Canis lupus familiaris: one gene and its partners. The protein of the gene in region 3 interacts with the protein of the main gene of each other region in a biochemical or structural test. Links are inferred from orthologs where the notes say so. Each region holds a gene or a part of one and is shown on either strand. Other genes may lie near its edges. The genes, in order: ZFYVE9, ITCH, RNF11 and SMURF2.

Region 1 (4,289 bases), about 910 kb from region 3:
CCAACTCTCTTATATATCTGTGCCAACTCTTCCTTTATTAGTAAATAATTCTTGAACATTCTTCAGGGCATCTTTTGCCCTTTAAAAATACCAAATCACTTTTCCAGATATTTAATTCCTGGGGAAACTTCATACTTTTAGGAGATGTGGCTATCTATTGCTAGATATTTTTCCCCTGCTATTAATTTATTTCTTAGGCACTTAAAAAACCTTTTTTAGTTTCTCTGTCAATAATAGGGAACAGAGTATGTGACATTATCATAAGTGTACTTAATATTTTAAAGCAAAGTGTTTTAAATCTTTAAGTTACAGAAATAAAGAATATATTTAAACTCATATTTTATTTATAACTACTTTTAAACACAGTTACAATTCTTATATTTATAAGATGCTAAGAAGTGATTTCTTAGTACTTCTGGAATTGGTGACCTTCTCTTCTTTGATGTTAAGAAATCCTACCAATATCACATTGATACCTGTTTTATTTTTCTGGCTCCTCAAGTGGCTCAGCCCAGAGAGCAGAGGCGAGTTTGGTTTGCTGATGGGATCCTGCCTAATGGAGAAGTTGCTGATGCAGCCAAATTAACGGTGAATGGAACTTCCTCTGCAGGAACCCTGGCTGTGTCACATGACCCAGTTAAGCCAATAACTACCAGTCCTCTACCAGCAGAGGTAAGAAAATAAAACAGCAGCTAAAAATGAGTACTTAGTTTACTCAGCATTGTGCTGCTTCTGCCTTGCCGCTTTCTAAGTTGAGTGACCTTTCTATGGAACCCTGTGGGTTTCAGATACAGTTTAGTGCATATGTCTGTGTGTCTAGGGGTAAAGTAAAGGTGGCAAAATCAGGTTTTTTTAAAATAAAGGTTTATTTATTTATTCATGAGACACAGAGAGAGAGAGAAAGGCAGAGACACAGGCAGAGGGAGAAGAAGCAGGCTCCCTGCAGGGAGCCCGATGTGGGACTCGATCCCAGGACCCTGGGATCACACTCTGAGCCAAAGGCGGGCGCTCAACCACTGAGCCACCCAGGTGTCCTGGCAAAATCAGTTCTTGTTTGCTCTATATTTAGAGTTTTTTTTTTTTTTTTCCAAGAGAAAGACTCTTATAAAGGTTGTTCTCAGTGGGCTCAGGCTACTGCTGTAGTTAGATAGAGGTCATGCAGAGGAAATCCTGCCGCCTTTGTACGTTGGTTTTCAAACTATGTTCCCCAGCTTCTTTGGTGATGTCTTGGGAGTGCCATGGTGAGGAAGGGCCAGGCCATATACAGGTGGCTGAGGAGTCCCTCTCTTCCTTTCTCTTCAACTGAGCATCTCTACTTTCTTCTGTTCTTTTTGGTTTCTATGTAAGATTTTTAAAGACTTTATTTTTAAGTGACCTCTACATCCAACGTGGGGCTCAAACTTAAAACCCCAAGATCAAGAGTTGTGCAATCTACCAACTGAGCCAGACAGGTGACCCTGATAGGTTTTTAAAATATAAATTTTGTTTGACTGCAAGAGGAAGTTCTGGTAAGTGAATATTACAGGGAAACGGTTCAGCTCAGTTTGCAAAACTAAACCAAGATATTTTATTTCTTTTACATTGTTCAACACTCTATTTTATTTTATTTTTTTAAGATTTTATTTATTTATTCATGAGAGACACACAGAGGCAGAGACACAGGCAGAGGGAGAAGCAGGCTCCATGCAGGGAGCCCGATGTGGGACTCGATCCCGGGGCTCCAGGATCATACTCTGGGCCGAAGGCAGGTGCCAAACTGCTGAGCCACCAAGGCATCCCTCAACACTCTATTTTTAAACACTTATCTGGTAAAATGTAGGAAAACAAATTTAGGGCCAGGCTAGAATATATTTTTCTCATCTTAATGGTTCAGTAAAATGCATGGCACTAAGTAGGTGCTCAGGGAATGAAATAAATTCCTTTTCACAGATGATACATAAGAGGAAACCAGATGACCACTTTCTGTGAAACTAAAAGATAGATTTATGCATCAATAAATAATAAGGTAGAATAGATTATTTCCTCTGTTAGGTTTCAAATCAGTAATAATGGTTTGTCAATAAAATTTTCCAGTGATGAGAACACTGCAAAATTTTTAGCAAAAACCTGCTAAAAACTGATAGAGTCCTAAATAATAGCATAGACAAAAATATAGTAGGACATGGACATATTTTTTAAAAAATAGTTTTAATCTTTATTCAAGTATAAAATCTAGATAGCATTGTGCTTGAGGCACATTAATCTTTAAGAAGCAACTTGATGAACTTATGGACACACCCATGCAACCACCATCCAAGTGAAAATACTCTAGAGGGTTCCCTTGTGTCCTTTTCAATACTTGCCTGTGTTTTCCCCAAGGTAATCATTATTTTGATTTGTATTACCATGGATTACTTTTGACTGTTCTTAAATTTCATCTAAATGCAAACATAGTATATAGTAGTTTGTGTCTTCCTTCTTATGAAGATTTGATTATGAGATTTATCCATGATGTGTGCATCAAAAGTTGGTATTTTTTTTATTGCTGGGTAATGTTCCACAATATACCACAATTTTTCTGTTTTCCTGTTAACGGACATTTGGATGGTTTCCAGTTTATGGCTATTATGAATAAAGCTGCTATAAACACTTTTATTTTTTATTTGTCTTTTTAGGAGGATTTTATTTACTTATTTGAGAGAGAGAGAGAGCGAGTATAAGCAGGGAGAGAGAGAAAAAAAAAAAAAAAAGCAGGGAGAGAGGCAAAGGGAGAGTTCCAGGGCACTGGGGATCATGACCTAAGCTGAAGGTGGACACTTAACGAACAGCCATCCAGGTGCCCCTATAAATATTTTAAAACATGTTAAAAACAGTTTTTAAATGCTTTTATTTTAACATTTTTTAAAGCTTCTTCTTTTCTTTTTTCTTTTTTTTCTTAATTGTTAGAGAGTATACTGAAGAGAGCATTATTTTAATAATCTTTGAGTGTATTCTATTAAGTTGTTAATTAAATGGATTTAACCCCAAATGTGTCTTGCAGCATTATACTTTATTGGAGTAGTTAATGTGAACTTCATATTAATGCAAAGAAAAATGAACTTGAAGTTTTATTTCACTGCATAACAAAAGAAAACAATGACTTGTTTTAATCTCTGTATTTTTTAAAGATTGATTTGAGAGCAAGAGCAAGCATGAACTTGCCCACAAGCAGGGGGAGGTCACAGGGAGAGGGAAAGAAATTCTCCAGTATAATCCCTGCTGATGTGGAGCCCAATGTGGGGCCTGGACCCAGGACCCTGAGATCACAATCTTAGCTGAAATCAAGAGTCAGATGTTTATCAGACTGAGCCACCCAGATGCTCGTTTATTCTGTATTTTATCAGTTAATTTTTTTCTCTTTTTTTATTGTGGTAAAATACACATAACATAAAATCCTTCATTTTAGTTATTTTTAAGTGTACAAACCAGTGGTATTAAGTCCATTCACATTGCTGTACAACCATCACCACTATTCTCAAAGTTTGTTTTATTTTTTACAGTTTTTATTTTATTTTTTTAAGAGACAAGTGGATGGAGGGGCAGAGGAGAGAGAGAATCTTCAGCAGGCTCCAGTGGAGTGGAGCCAGGCAAGGAGCTCGATCTCACAACCCTGAAATCATGACCTGAGTCGAATCAGGGACATTTAACCAACTGACCCATACAGGCGTCCCTTTTTATTTTTAAAAAGCAATGTAAATGAGACTTTTTTTTTTAGAGCTTTTAATTTTATTTGAGAGAGGGAGAGAGAGCAATGAGTGGGGGGGAGGGGCAGAAGGAGAGGGAGAAGTAGATTCCCCACTGAGCAGGGAGCCTGACCTGATGTGAGACTTGATCTCAGGACCCTGAGATCCTGACCTGAGCTGAAGGCAGATGCTTAACCGACTGAGCCACCCAGACATCTATGTAAATGAGACTTCAAGTGGACCCAAATGCATTAAAGGTTCAGAAATTGAGATAATACTGAAACTTAGTTTCTGTTCCACTGCAGTTTTTAAAAATGTTTTCAAATAAATAAATAAATAAATAAATAAATAAATAAATAAATAAATAAAAATATTTTCTTTTATGGCCAAAGAAACCTAGATAGAGAAAGCTTTAACCTAGGCTACAAGGCCTCTTCTCCCATTCTTATGATTTGGTGATGCCAAAAAGAGAAACTATACAATTGGAAATATTTTCATAGTATAAATCCAGGTGTTTGGGAAACCACAAGTTAATGAGAAATTTGTGCTATTTTTCAAAAAGTATGAATTCCAAATTTTCACTTAAAT
Region 2 (4,289 bases), on a different chromosome or scaffold from region 3:
GGACAGGGTATGGGGATGGGTGACGCAGGTGGTGGGGATTAAGGAGTGCACATTTGTTGTGAAGAGCACCAGATGAGGATGAGGATGATGTACAGAAGGGCTGATTCACTATAACATACACCCAAAACTAATCTTATACTGTATATTACCTGGAATGAATGAATGAATGAATTTATTTAGATTATGTTTGTTATTTATTTATTTAGATTTTATTTATTCATGAGAGAGAGAGAGAGAGAGAGAGAGAGAGAGCATGCCTGTGCATGCGTCAGAGACACAGGCAGAAGGAGAAGCAGGCTCCATGCAGGGAGTCCGACATGGCATTCAATCCCGGGTCTCCAGGATCACACCCTGGGCCGAAGGCGGTGCTAAACCGCTGAGCCACCAGGGCTACCCTACTAAATGGAATTTAAATAAAAACTTAAAAAAATCTAATAATTGCTTGAAGCAAGAACTAATAATAATGTGGTTTATAAGGTAAGAAATCTGACAACAGTTGCACAAATAGAGATAACTGAAATTATATTATGAGCTTCTTACTATTGTACAAGTAGTAGTGTAATATGTTATATAATATGTATATGATCTTAATTATAAGTGAGACATTATGGATATATATTATAATCATTAGAGCAGTCACTAAAATAATTAAAGAGGGATAGTTTTAAAAAAATCTGACAGGTTAAAAAAACTATTAATTCAAAAGAAGGCAGGAAAGGAAGAACAAAGGAAGTTAGGATAATTAAATAGCAAGGTGGCAGACTTCACTCCAACCATATCAGTAATCATATTAAATGTAAATGGTACTAAACAGTGCATTTAAAAAGTAAAGATTATCAGACTGGATGAAAATATTAAGATCCAAGAATATGCTACTTGTCAGAAACATACTTTAAATACACAGATATACAGGGCAGCCTGGGTGGCTCAGCGGTTTAGTGCTGCCTTCGGTGTGATCCTGGAGACCCGGGATCGAGTCCCATGTCGGGCTCCCTGCATGGGGCCTGCTTCTCCCTTTGCCTGTGTCTCTGCCTCTCTCTCTGTGTGTCTCTCATGAGTAAATAAAATCTTTAAAAAAATTTTTTTTTAAATAAATACACAGAGACAGGACTGAAAACTAAAGGATAGAGGAAGATCTATTACATAAATACTAGTCACAGGAAGGCTGGAGTGAATATATTAATATTTAAAAAGTGAAAAAGCAAGCAAGAGACCCAGAAACTGTAACTCAAGAAAAAGCAGATATATGGAAACTAACGCTGCTCTAAACAGAGCTGGTGTTGAGAATATGTGAATGAACTATAACTCTTGACACTAAAGTATCAATCAATTCAGCAAGCGTGAGAGGATACATTATAAATTATTTTACTTATAAATTTTATCTGATCTTAGAGTACTCCCCACAAAAATATCTGCATATAAATTTCAGATTCTTTTCAATGACTCAATGTTACATGGCACAGTGGTTACAGACTGGTATTTAAAAGAGTGACCTAGCACTATTTCTACTCTTAAAACTCCCAATTTGGGAGGAAAAAAGTGAAAGTTCTATATAATCAACATTCTTTTCTATCCCTTTATAATCTTCAAATTGTGGTTAAACTGAAAATATGCCAAGAAAAGGGGTATAAAACCTATCAGTACCCATTAGATTAATTCTTTTTTTTTTTTTCCATTAGATTAATTCTTTGTAAAATTTAGTTTAAGTTAACTGGCAGGACAGTCTCTCTACCCTGCTGCCTCCACAAGAATCTGTTCTACTTCTTATTCTGCTGCCAGATGTTAAAGTTGAAATTTAGATTGTCTACCTAATTTGGTCCTTAAATTTTTTTTAAGATTTATTTATTTATGATAAACATAGGGGGAGAGGGAGAGAGGGAGAGAGGGGGAGAGAGAGGGAGGGAGAGACACAGGAGGAGGAAGAAGCAGGCTCCATCCTGGGAGCCCGATGTGGGACTCGATTCCGGGATTCCAGGATCACACCCTGGGCCAAAGGCAGGCTCTAAACTGCTGAGCCACCCAGGGATCCCGGTCCTTAGTTTCTTATAATGTGGCTTCTCTATCTACCACTTGGGTATAGTTCTAACTGTTCTCTTAAGGGTTATAATAACTTATTAGCCTCCATATCTTCTAAAGATTCCTCATTTTCCTTGGCCTCTGAAATTCAGGACATGGTAGAACGGGATATCAGCTCTGAGCTGCCTAAAAGCACCACCACACACTATACTTCCCTAGTTACTATTTGTGACTTGTGCTTTCCAGCCTTTGTATCTCTGCCCATTAACTTCAGTTCTCATTTCTACACAAGTGAATCCTCCCCAACCTTCAAAGCTCATATTAAATATGACCACCAGCTACTTGCTGCATGATTACAACTAAATGATGTCTCCCTCATTTGACTTTCCATAGCACTTTCCTTGTTCCTCTCTCAACATACTTGTAAGTTAGAAAGCAATCAATCACGTCCTTGTTATACATGATCAGTTCTCATAATGATTAGTAAAAAGGCAAACATTATTTTAAAATACTGTCCACTAGTATCACTAGGCAATTATCAATGTGCTGTAGCCCAACAGAAAGGCTTTGAAGTACATTAAAAGGAGCATTCTCTCACCTGATATATTCCTCTTTATTTTCTTCTGTCACAAGAATATTGCCACCATTAGGTTTCAAATCATGACTCTTGATTTCACCTAAAATTTCTTTATCGACAGAGAAGTACATTTCCAAACCACATTCCTCAATATTGTTTTCTCTGCACAAATGAAATTAATACTATTTGTTACACTAATTCAATCATATAAAAAGTATTTAACTAAAGGACTGTGTTCTTCAATAATTACTCTAAAACCATAGGATCAAAATAATATGAAAACTGGAAAGATTACGCTCTAAAGTCATTATATTTTTACCTAACATATCAGGTGTATTCTGTAAAATTTATTATACTGGATGAGACAAGTTTAATATTTAAATTCAATAAACCAATTACTTGCTTACAGTTTGGGCAGGTTACCAACATCATAATGAAATCATATAGACTATATTTTGATAAATTAAACGGAAACAAACTTACTTAACCCAGATGAGAGAATTGTAAAATTCTGGATCAATAGATTCTAAATCCTTCAGTCCAACTGGTTTGTTCAATATACGCTTATAGAATGGCAAAGAAAAACCTGTGTCTATGAATTTTCCATGGAACAGAGCCTATATGAGAAGAAAATAAACCTTTTATGATAGAATGTTAGATTAATTAATTCTTCATATAAAGCTCCCCTGTCATCTATTATGGCACATTTTTGGGAAAATAGCAAATATAACAAACCAATCTTTTTTTTTTTAATATTTTATTTATTTATTCATGACAGAGGGAGAGAGAGAGAGAGAGAGAGAGGCAAAGACACAGGCAGAGGGAGGGACACAGGCAAGCTCCATGCAGGGAGCCCGACGCGGGACTCGATCCGGGGTCTCCAGGATCTCGCCCTGGGCTGCAGGCGGCGCTAAACCGCTGGGCCACCCGGGCTGCCCATAACAAACCAATCTTAAAAAAAAATCTTAGTGATGAGAAAATTTCAAATGAGAAAGTTAAATGTTAAAGAAACAATACCTTAATATTGGTGAATTAGCAAAGTAAACAGAGTTCACCAGTACTTACCATAGCAATAAACCTGCCAATAAAACGAAAATATTTCAGGTGATCTGGATTGATGTAAGAAGCGGGATTGATCTGCAAGCAGTAGTTATCCTTCCCTGCATATTCAAACAGGCAATACATTGGGTTCAACACCTCGTGTGACAAAAGAAAGAACCACTCTCTGAAATCAAAAGAAAATTTAGGGTGAAAAAACCATGCCAATAAATCAAAGTGCAGTGCTACAAAGTTCTCAGGAATCTATACTCCTTGGCTGGTGACAGTTTTCTAATCTCATGTTGATTTTTAACTGCTTCTATTCAGATAGACATCTAGTTTATAGAGATGATACTTACACACTCCATATTATATTTCAGAGAATCTAAGACATCATCGACTTAAAAGACACCATTATTCAATGAGCTACTAAAAATTTTTCTAATTATAATTGTGATACACATCCCAATGTCAGAGACATTTAAATCAATTTATCAATTAGTGAGCATTAGTCTTAGAATCAATGAAATACTATTATAGAGCCAAGTTTAATATTCATTATTAACCCATGTAGTTAAAGCAACTGAAGGAGGTCTAATATTATTCCATCTGTTACTAAGCCTCACAGCAATTCTCATCAGATGTCACTGCTCTCTAA
Region 3 (4,860 bases):
GAAGGTAAGTCTTGAGGAAGACAGGATGCAGCAAAACGGTTCTATTTAATATGGGATATGAGGACATTTAAGTAAGTGATTTTGTAGAATAGGGACTCCAAAGCTAGAGTACTCATGCCCATACTAGTTTAGAATCCTACCTCCAAGAATCATTTCTGATCCTCACCCACATGGTCTAAACAGTCTCCTTAGGGCTCTGCAAAAACTTTTGGTGGTGGAGGGGAGTAGGGACTCACTGTTTACTGGTCTCCCCAGCTGGACTCTGGGCTCCATCCGGGACAAAGCAGATCCGGTAAAAGAGCTTCCCTAGTGCCTAGCATGTGGTCTTGCGAGGGAAGAAAAAGAATCAGTGACTGGTGAATAAAAGAAAGAGAGTCAAGACCCGCTTCTTGTCCTCTGGGAGCATTCTCATCTTTCTTATTTCCTTCCTTTGCACATATTGCTTCTCGGGCTCTTTGTTCACTCAACCAAGAGGGCCTACTGTCCCTTAGGCAGCACCCAGGCCGTGCACAGAGGAGGGACAGATGATTCGGCTCGATCAGGCTGTGATGGGGAGAAGCTCAGGGACGAAGGGCATGGAGAAGGCCACCAGTCCAGACTGGAGGGTTAGAGGAAACGAAGTTGAATTTAGGAAGGACAACTGGGAATAACGGTTAGCCTGATGGGGGGTAGGAGGTCTGGCGTGAAGGCGAAGCGCGCGTAGGTCGGAGAAGCAGTTCGGGTGAAGGCCTCAGCCGGAGGGAACAGTCTTCTAAGAGAACCCGAGGTACTTTAGACAGCCCGCAGTTAGATATCTGAGGGGACAATGCTGCTAATGAGATTGGGGAAGTAGATCTGTAAACCGTTTAAGAATACTCCTAACGGTTTGGGTAAGCCAGTGAAGGTCTTAAATGGGGGGTCAATTTATGTTTTAAAAAGATCGCGCAGCTGTGTGAACGGTGGCCCGGCTCACGGGCGAGCTTGGACTTTATTCTGAAGGGAGAACGGGGAAGAAGCCTCCCTAACATTTCAACCCGGGAGCGACCCGTTGGGAGGAGGGTTTGCGAGCACATCACCCGGCCGGCGGCGGGCAGGAGGCTGCCTGAGGCGCGCCCGAGGGAGCAGGGACCCGCGGGAGGGAGCCCGCAGGGCGGCTTCCGAGGCCCGGCCCCGCCGCCAGGGCCCCGGGAACAGCCGCCGGGCGGGAGGGGGCGCGGCCGCGGCCGGAGACGCCCAGGGCTCGGGCGCCGGGGGCGGGCCCGGGGCACGCACGGCGCGTGACGCACGGCCGCGGCCCGCCTCGTTCTGGCCGCCGCCGCCGCTCTGAGGCGGAGTAGGATGAGGCCCGCGGCCGCGGCTCCGGCGTCGGCGGGGGCAGCAGCCGCTGAGGCAGCAGCTGGGGCAGCCGCGGCAGCCGCGCCCCCCGCCCCTGACCCGCGTTAGGCCCGGCAGCTCGGTGGCCGCCGCCGCCCCGCGGGGGGGCGGGGTGGGGAAGGGCTCCGTCTCCCCGCCCCCCCCCCCCAGTGCCGCCTCGCAGGAGGCGCCCGCCGCGACCCCAGCGGAGCCCAGCCTTGAGCCCCCGGGCCGGGGCCTGGCATGAGCAGCCCTCCGGCGGCGCCGGGGCGCGGGGGAGCCGCCGCCTGAGCCCGGCCTGCCGCCGACCCCGCCTCGCTGGCCCGGCGCGTGCGAACGGCCCGCCGCTGCTTCTGCCTCCTCCGGATCACACCTCGTAGCCTCGGAAGATGGGGAACTGCCTCAAGTCCCCCACCTCGGATGACATCTCCCTGCTTCACGAGTCCCAGTCCGACCGCGCTAGTTTCGGCGAGGGGACGGAACCGGACCAGGAGCCGCCGCCGCCATATCAGGTAGGGGAGGCTGTGTGTTGGGGAGGAGCGGGGCGAGGCGGCCCGAGCGGGGGGTGGGGGGGCGTCGGGGCCGGAGGGGAGCGGGGGAGCCGAGGGGGGCCGAGGGGCCGGGGGGGCGCCGAGGGGCTGTCACCGCCCCGGCCTCGCCGGGCCCGGCCTGGGGGGCGGCGGCCCTAGGGCGGGGACTGAAGGTGATCGCCGCCCCTCCCGGGGTAAGGGGGACCCTTCACCTCCCATCAGGAACGGCGTGGGGACGGCCCTCTCTGTCCTTGAGTTCTGGGATCCGAGTGGTGACAGTATCCTCCTCGCTTGTGGAATTTGGGGATGACCTCGTTCCGCCTTTATGTCTAAAGCGTGGAGTCTGGTATGAGATGTGGGGGACGTTTCCTCATCGCGCCGCCGCCTGGACTGTGGGTTCTGGGTAGGTCGTTGCCCCCCACCTCCTCGTCATGTGTGGCCATCCGCTCCCCCACCCCTCCCTGTACCCTGTGCGTTAATTGGATCTGGTAGGTGCTCATTTCTCCTACATGAGAAAAGATCAAGTGGTGATTTTAGTGCTGGCGACATCAGGAGTTACTTGTTTATACATATGTGTGTGTGTATGTATTAATTTTGATCCCTCCTCCTCTCGCTCCACCCTATGACACACCTTTTAAACGCGCTGATTCAATAAAACTTGAGTATCTTGAACTTTGGAAACCTTTAAACCTGACTTGAATATCTTCTGTTACTCGTGGTTCTCACTTCGTATCAAAGACTTGCTCCTAAACAGTTTCATCGCTTTTTGTACAGCAATCCGTCCTATATATGTTTACAGTTAATAAAAAAGCTAAGATCTCTTGAACTCCAAATAGATAATGTAGATCTTATTTAGAATATATAAAAACCTTTTCTCTACTTTTCAATTTTGAATGATATTGGTTAGCTTTTTTTCCAGAGGGGTTTAAATAGTTAAATGCCTTAATTTTTTAGCTGAAGGGGGTTTAGTTTTCTAACCGGGCAGTCTCCTTTGTTGTTTCATGTGGTGACATCATTATCTAGTGTTATTCTTCTCTCATTCCTGTGTAAACCAGTGTCTCATCACACCAGAAAAACCTGATCACATATCCTGGTTTTGTGAATAAAACCCTCAGGGTCCTTTCATATATATATGCCAATAAAGTCCAGTCTTAATCGTGGCATACAGAAGCCTCCATGGTTTATCTTTCACATTCTGTATTTCAGGCCTGCCAAATACATCAGTTCACATCTCTGCCTTTGCTCCAGTTGCTCCCTCTGCTAGGATCCCTTCCCCCAAGGTCAGCAAGGTGAACATCTAATCCTCTTTAAAGACTCAGCTCTCCTGTCACCACTCTCCCAGGTCTCTACCTTCCCCTCCCTCCCTCTGTGAATCCATCCCTCAGTTGTTTGTGTAGCACCCTCCACCCCCCCACCCCCATTCCATAAGCAGCACAAACAACACTTGGGGTGTTAATATCTTTGTTTTGTTAGATGTAGGTTTCATCCTTATGGCATTTCCTTCTGCCTCCAGTGTAAGCTGCTGGCAGGTAGGGACCCTTATGTCACCTGCTATGCTGTTACATCCCCAGCATCTGGCTCATAGTAAATATTCAGTAACTTGTGGGATAAGTGAAGACTAAGCTCTTAAGAACAAGGACTGTATCCTCAATGTTTCATGAAATTACTGGCACTTAAAAAAAAAAAAGAAATTACTGGCACTTAAGCATTTAAATGTTGAATGAATTAATGAATTTGAATTCAGTACCTTGTGTGGTAAGTTTACACACCTGTTTCTTCCAGAGAGTGTCACAGGGAAGTCTTTTCATCTTTTTGAATCTTTGAAGCAAGTAAATTGTTTATATTTCACTTTTCATTTCCCTCAAATACTATAGGACAATGTGCTTATTTTAGCTTCCTGAGCAAATTTTTGTAGAGGTATGATTTTTATTTCAAAATCTCCTTCCATACTCCCTAATCCCTTTCCAGGCAAATTAAATATCCTGAGTTCATGGCCCTTTTTCTCTTACCCGCACGGTAATACAGTGTTAAGGATAACTTAATTTTTAGGAATTGTATTTGGTTTTTCCAGGAGAACTAGGTGATAGATTTTTTTTTAAATCATGAAGGAACATGTTATTTGTGACAGCAGGAGTTTTTGTGGTTGCCCTTTTTTGAAGTGAGTGACCCAGATACTGATGCAAATTTCGTATCAATTGAAATAAAACTTTAATGGGAGCATAAAGAAACTTTTGTAGAAAAAGCTTTGTCCCCTCCCAAAGGAAATAAGATTTTTAGGAATGGTTAATTTAAATGATCTGAGAAACACCAGTCCAAACACCAGTCCAAGAAATGATTTATATTTTCAGTGGACAGAAGTAACATTTTTTCTTCAAAAATAGTATATAATTAAAAGAGCTACAAGAATAGCATATTTCTTGAAAGAATAGTCTCAGCTGCAATAGGATCTTTAAAAATCTTTAAAGCTGATTATAGAGGAACACAGTATTTTTCTGTAGTGGGTGGTTAAAAGATGTCCTTTTTGTGTTGCACGGTGTAGGCTAATGCTAAGAGCTCTACTTAGTAAATTTCTAGGTTATTTCCTATTAGCAGGACCTGACAGATGTATTTAATTTATGTTTAAAAAGTAAACTCTATGCCATTATAGTGAAAGTTTATAGGAAGTACCTGTTTATTTCCTGTGTTTAGTTAGTATTCTAACTGGTCTCACTGTATTCACCCTTGCCTTCCCTACAGTCTGTTCTTAACCCAGCAGTCAGTTATTCTGGTAAAACAAATCATGTCTCAAAAAAATAACAACTACAAATCATGTCTCTTGGTGCAACCTTATGTGGATCTCCATTTCATTCACAGTAAAAGGCAAATCCCTCTGTGTCCATAAGCCCTACGTTATCTGTATATCCCCAACACATATCTCTCTTGATGCTGACTTCTTACTAGTTTTCCCCCTGCTGACATCCCTTTAGCTTCTTTGGCCTACTTGTTCCTAGGATACTCC
Region 4 (4,976 bases), on a different chromosome or scaffold from region 3:
TTGTAGGGTGGGAGGCAGGCTGATGAGATGCTCTTGGAGGTAACTTCGTCTGGAGAATGAAGAGACATTACTGATAAATTAAAAGTAATGGCTGACACTGAATTAGCATTAAAACGTATTAGATTTTATTAAACATTTAAAATGGCATTAATAACAGCCTTCAGCAAAACTAACAAAGCACATAAAAAAATCCCCCCATTGTTATTCTTAGTTTTCATTGTCCTAGATCTTTTTGCATGCATACGACTTTTTTTTAATTTTTTTTAAATTTATTTATGATAGTCATAGAGAGAGAGAGAGAGAGAGAGAGAGAGAAAAGCAGAGGGAGAAGCAGGCTCCATGCACCGGGAGCCCGATGTGGGATTCGATCCCGGGTCTCCAGGATCGCGCCCTGGGCCAAAGGCAGGCGCCAAACCGCTGCGCCACCCAGGGATCCCCATACGACTTTTTGATGTGCTTTTAAACTTTATTTGTAAACTCTTCCATATTATATGATCTTCATAATTGCCATTTAAATGGCTGCATAAAAATCGATGCGGATGATGTAATACAGTTCACCATTAGGCTGTTCCCTCATTCCCCCTTTTGTTATTAACCGAACTTTTCAAAGAAACATCTTCTGTCTTAATATATATGTATAAAAAAAAATTCCCAAGAGTGCAATTACAGGGTCAAATGGCAAGGTACACTTATTTTTATTTCATTTTCTATCTCTTTTTTTCTTCCCGAGATAACGAGATACAGTTCTGTATGAAAAGCTTTTCAAACACTGCTCTCCAAGGCTTATCTTGATAATAATCCTTTAAGGTATTATTATCAATCGCCTATCCTCCGAGATGCAGCTGGAAAAAGAGCCGGAGCGGGCAGGTAACCTGATCTCGTCCACCAGGTGAGTCCAGGATGGAGGTGGCAGCCGGGATACTAGGAGCACAACACCGCAGGGGGGTTGCAGGGGCGCCTGGTGTGGGAATCGTGGCTCTTCCCTCACCCCAGCGACGCTGAATTCCCCGAGGGCAGGGGGCTCGGTTCCAACCTCGCTCGCTCCAGCCCCCTAGAGCGCCGTGCACGCAGTGGGCATCGAAGAGGTGCAGTCGGCGTCGCACGGACAAAAGCTCTCCCTTCAGTGGGCTGGACACCAAGCCCCTCCTGGTGCCACCGAGCTCGGCGCCGCCACTTTCTTCCTTTCGCCGGCTGTCTCCACCAAGTTCCGCGTGGGACCCTCGGCGGCGGCGGCGAGCTCCCCCGCCCTTCTCCGCCCTTCCCCGCCTGCGCCCAGGCCCGCCCGGGCCCCGCGCCCCGCGCCCCGCGCCCTCGCGCCCCCGCGCCCCGGGCACCCAGCGCGCGCCCGCCCGCCCGCCAGGCCCCGCCCCGCCGGCCCCGCCTCCCGTCTCCTCCCCGCCCCCCGGAGCCGACGAGTGGCGGCGGCGGCCCCAGGACCCGGTTCCCTCAGACAAGAGGGCGGGTGGAGGAGGAAGCGGCCGAGCCCCGAGTCCTGCTCCGGCGCCGCCGAGCGCCGCCCGCCTCGGCCGAGCAGCGCCGGCGGCTCCTCCTGGGCCTCGCCGAGCCGAGGGGAGGGACGGGCGGAGGCGGCCGCGGGCGGGCGGCGGGGGCGCGGGCGCGGGCGGAGGCGGCGCGGCCGGCCGCGGCTGCCGCTTTGTTGTGCGGCCCGGGCCGAGGAAGGAGAAGTGGGAGGAGGGGGGAGCTCGGCGTCCCGCTCCCTCCGCGGCTCATGGCGACGACGCTCGGCACATCCGGGACCCTCCGGCCGTGGCGGCCGCGGCGCCGGCTGCTCGGGCCCCAGCCCCGGCCGCTGTGGTGACTCCGCCGCGCCTCGCCGTCGCCCCCGCCCCGCCCGCCCGCCGGCCCCGGGCCCCGCGCCGCGGCCGCAGCCCCGCCGCCGCCGCCGCCGCCGCCGCCGCCGCAGCAGCAGCCCCGCCGCCGCCGCCGCCGCCGCGCCGCCCCCGCCGCCGGGGACATGTCTAACCCCGGGGGCCGGAGGAACGGGCCCGTCAAGCTGCGCCTGACAGGTGAGGGGAGCCGAGGGGGGCGGCCGCGGGGCGGGCGAGCCGGCGGGGGGTGCCTGTGGCCTTGGGAAGGGCCAGGGTCGTGATCAATGGTGAGCCGGGGGTCGGGGACGGGGGAAGGCCTAGTTCAGGGAGAGGAGTGGCAACGGGCTCGCCCCGCTCGGGAGGTTCGGGAGCGAGCCGACCGGTGTCGGGGTCTTTTGTTGAGGGGCGGGCTGCCCGGTGGGACGCGCGGGCTGACTGGAGGTCGGCGCGCGCTGGCCGAGGAGCACGGCTCTCCGCGGGGCTGCCGCCCAGGTGGGGTCGTCGAGGGGGCGACGAGCTCCCGTGGCGGGGATTGTTGAATCCGGCCGCTGACTGCGCGCAGTAAACACTCCTTAAAGATGGAGCGCTTAACGGGAGGGTGTGTGTGTGTGTGTGTGTGTGTGTGTGTGAGAGAGTGTGTGTTCCCTGGTAACTTGTTCGCCCACTGTGCCCGCCTGCAAGACCTTCACTCTCCGCCGCCGGCCGCTGCGGCCGGTGCCACACACCTGAAACGCAAGTCCTTGGGAAGGGGGAGGAGACCGAGGTGGATTTTTTTTTTTTTTTTTTTTTTTTTCCGGTGTGTCCGCCTGCTCCGCCGACTCTGGCTCATTGTACACTCTGTGTTTTGGAAGTGTTTGATTGTAGGGTAGCATGTTTTGGGTTGTTCCTTGTAGGCCGCAGAACTTGTGTCTCACTACTAACTCCAGACCTGCTCTAAGAACACACTTTTTTTTTTTTTTTTGAGGGTACGTTTCGAAGTATGTGCTCATACAAATTTGCAAGGGAAGTTTTGTCTCTTCTCCCCTCCTCCCCTTTCCTTTTCTAAATGGAAAAGAATGTATGGAGGGGTTCCTAGGTAGAAGGCTTCTTTCTCTCTTGCAAAATGTTTCTGATTCAGAGTGCATTAAATCTTTAACGTTACAGGTACATTTTGCTGACACAGTGCCGTTTTTTGGTGTTCTTACATGGTCGTGTCACCTCATCTTAAGGACAGATTACTTTTGGTTTGAAAAGTGGAATTGAAATCACTGTCGCTCTCCCAGTTTCACCATTCAGTATTATCCGCGTCGATGTTTGGATGTGTGGTGAGAAAAATGGTTTTCCTTAGAGGTTGTGTGTGTGTGTGTGTATGTGTGTGCACGCGCGTGTGAGAATAAACTGTAATTATGTTTGCCTACACTAGACATTGAGATTTATATGGACTAATTTTGTAATTGAATGCTTGTGTGTCACATCCCAGTCCACTGGCTGAACTTTGCAGATTAAAACTTGCAGTGAATTTGGTATTTGAGAATTTAGTCTGACTGTAAATTGGCTGCGATTTTAAAAATATATGACTTGTACGACAGTTTTACTTTCTCTAGGGAAAAATTGCAAAGAATCATGAACTGAGTGGTTCTTAATGGAAAACCTGGGTTAGGGATCCCCTCCCCCCCCCACTACCGTTGCCCCCATTCAGTTTCCTTTGGAAACCTTTATAAGGGATCTTTGTTGCTTTAGGGTTTATCTACTGATGCTCTTCTCTGGAATCAGTCCCGTGGTGGTGATCACAGAAAGAACCTGTGATTCTAGGTGTTCAAAAAACCTCAGAAATAGGCTGTTGACCATTTACTTCCTTCTAGGCTATGTGCATCATGAGAAAATGAAGGAGAAAACAGGTATTTCGGAGGTTTTTTTTTTTTTTTTAGATATAATGAGTTTGAAATTTTTAAAAGATCTTAATGTGTTTATTTGTGGTTTCCTTACAGTCTATGATACATTATAAAAATCCATGAGTAAACTTAGGAGAAAAGATGACACCTCTTTTTTTTGGGGGGGGAGAGGGAACACTGGGCTAAATTTATAGAGTGATTTTGTATTTTTAGATTTTTCTGTGGAATATTAAATACACTGTGTCCCCTTAATTGTAAAAGCAGTTTGAGGTACTCTCAGTTTTTGAAAACCATTGAGAATTTGTCTCTGTCATATTTTAAGAAAAAGCTATTCAGATATTAAAAACATTGCCCTCTCCTTTTTGGTTATATTTGGTGGATTCTGTTTTGCCAGGAAAGTTAACTTATATTTTCTCATTTTTGTCCATTTACAAATTAGATGGTATAGATTTTAACAAATAGATTTCAAGAGCTGGATTCAATTAGCAGCTTTTTAGGACATAAACATTAAAGGGTTAGATGGAAAAGATTGTTTTGACTGACTGGATAAATGACAGGGCTGTGTTTGATGTGCGTCCAGGAATTGGTCTGGAGCTGGTGCCCAACTTTTCAGTCCATCTTGAGAAGCCAAATAAAATATTTAACCTAGGCCTCGTTTTGTTTGAAAAAAAAAAAAAAGTTGATTCTTTGTTAAGACCTTAAGAAATGTTTGGCATACCTTTAGACTAAGTGTTTAACAGTTCATTTAGATCCGGGTTCCATAATAAGGAAAATTACTTAAAAAAAAAAAAAAAAAGACACATCCCACAGTGAATTTTTATTTGGTTTACAATACACTTGGACTGTAAGATGCTTTAAAATTATTGTTCTTTGCCTTAAGTCAGTATCATACTAGTATTTTAAGTTTATATAAAATGTCTTTGATTCCATGGTGCTTTATGAACTGTAGTCAATTCTATCTTTAACATAGAGTTGTCCCTTTACTGAAAGGTATAAACAGTTTTTACGTGATGACACACACACATACAGTCACACATACACACAGGCTGGAGAAGAAATATTTGAGCCATGAGATCTCTGCCCACGACAAATATTATTAGACTTTTCCATGTATTATTCCTTAGCCCACACTTACCTAGTGAACTGTTTGGTGTTTTTGATGCTAAGGAGGTAGGGTTAATTTAATCCCACATTTGAGATTCCTCAGGCCATTGGTAGTTAAAATCTGATTTGGTCCATCAAGTACTTTGGTTGTTCTTAATGACACATTAACAAT

What was found.
Region 1: the proteins of RNF11 (region 3) and ZFYVE9 form a complex in vitro, tested with the Homo sapiens proteins (2 studies listed by BioGRID). The link is inferred for Canis lupus familiaris from reciprocal best matches to the Homo sapiens genes RNF11 and ZFYVE9.
Region 2: the proteins of RNF11 (region 3) and ITCH form a complex in vitro, tested with the Homo sapiens proteins (2 studies listed by BioGRID and IntAct). The link is inferred for Canis lupus familiaris from reciprocal best matches to the Homo sapiens genes RNF11 and ITCH.
Region 4: the proteins of RNF11 (region 3) and SMURF2 form a complex in vitro, tested with the Homo sapiens proteins (3 studies listed by BioGRID and IntAct, with this or other methods). The link is inferred for Canis lupus familiaris from reciprocal best matches to the Homo sapiens genes RNF11 and SMURF2.

What each region holds. Positions count from the first base shown.
Region 1 is NC_049236.1:9,125,522-9,129,810, reverse strand, and holds part of ZFYVE9 (zinc finger FYVE domain-containing protein 9), read left to right. Parts: intron 1-502; coding exon 503-672; intron 673-4,289. UniProt on the Homo sapiens protein: Early endosomal protein that functions to recruit SMAD2/SMAD3 to intracellular membranes and to the TGF-beta receptor.
Region 2 is NC_049245.1:24,118,986-24,123,274, reverse strand, and holds part of ITCH (E3 ubiquitin-protein ligase Itchy homolog), read right to left. Parts: intron 3,819-4,289; coding exon 3,659-3,818; intron 3,211-3,658; coding exon 3,077-3,210; intron 2,756-3,076; coding exon 2,615-2,755; intron 1-2,614. UniProt on the Homo sapiens protein: Acts as an Acts as an E3 ubiquitin-protein ligase which accepts ubiquitin from an E2 ubiquitin-conjugating enzyme in the form of a thioester and then directly transfers the ubiquitin to targeted substrates.
Region 3 is NC_049236.1:10,031,936-10,036,795, reverse strand, and holds the start of RNF11 (RING finger protein 11), read left to right. Parts: upstream 1-1,617; 5' UTR 1,618-1,721; coding exon 1,722-1,844; intron 1,845-4,860. UniProt on the Homo sapiens protein: Essential component of a ubiquitin-editing protein complex, comprising also TNFAIP3, ITCH and TAX1BP1, that ensures the transient nature of inflammatory signaling pathways. Promotes the association of TNFAIP3 to RIPK1 after TNF stimulation.
Region 4 is NC_049230.1:14,452,101-14,457,076, forward strand, and holds the start of SMURF2 (E3 ubiquitin-protein ligase SMURF2), read left to right. Parts: upstream 1-1,924; 5' UTR 1,925-1,975; coding exon 1,976-2,027; intron 2,028-4,976. UniProt on the Homo sapiens protein: E3 ubiquitin-protein ligase which accepts ubiquitin from an E2 ubiquitin-conjugating enzyme in the form of a thioester and then directly transfers the ubiquitin to targeted substrates.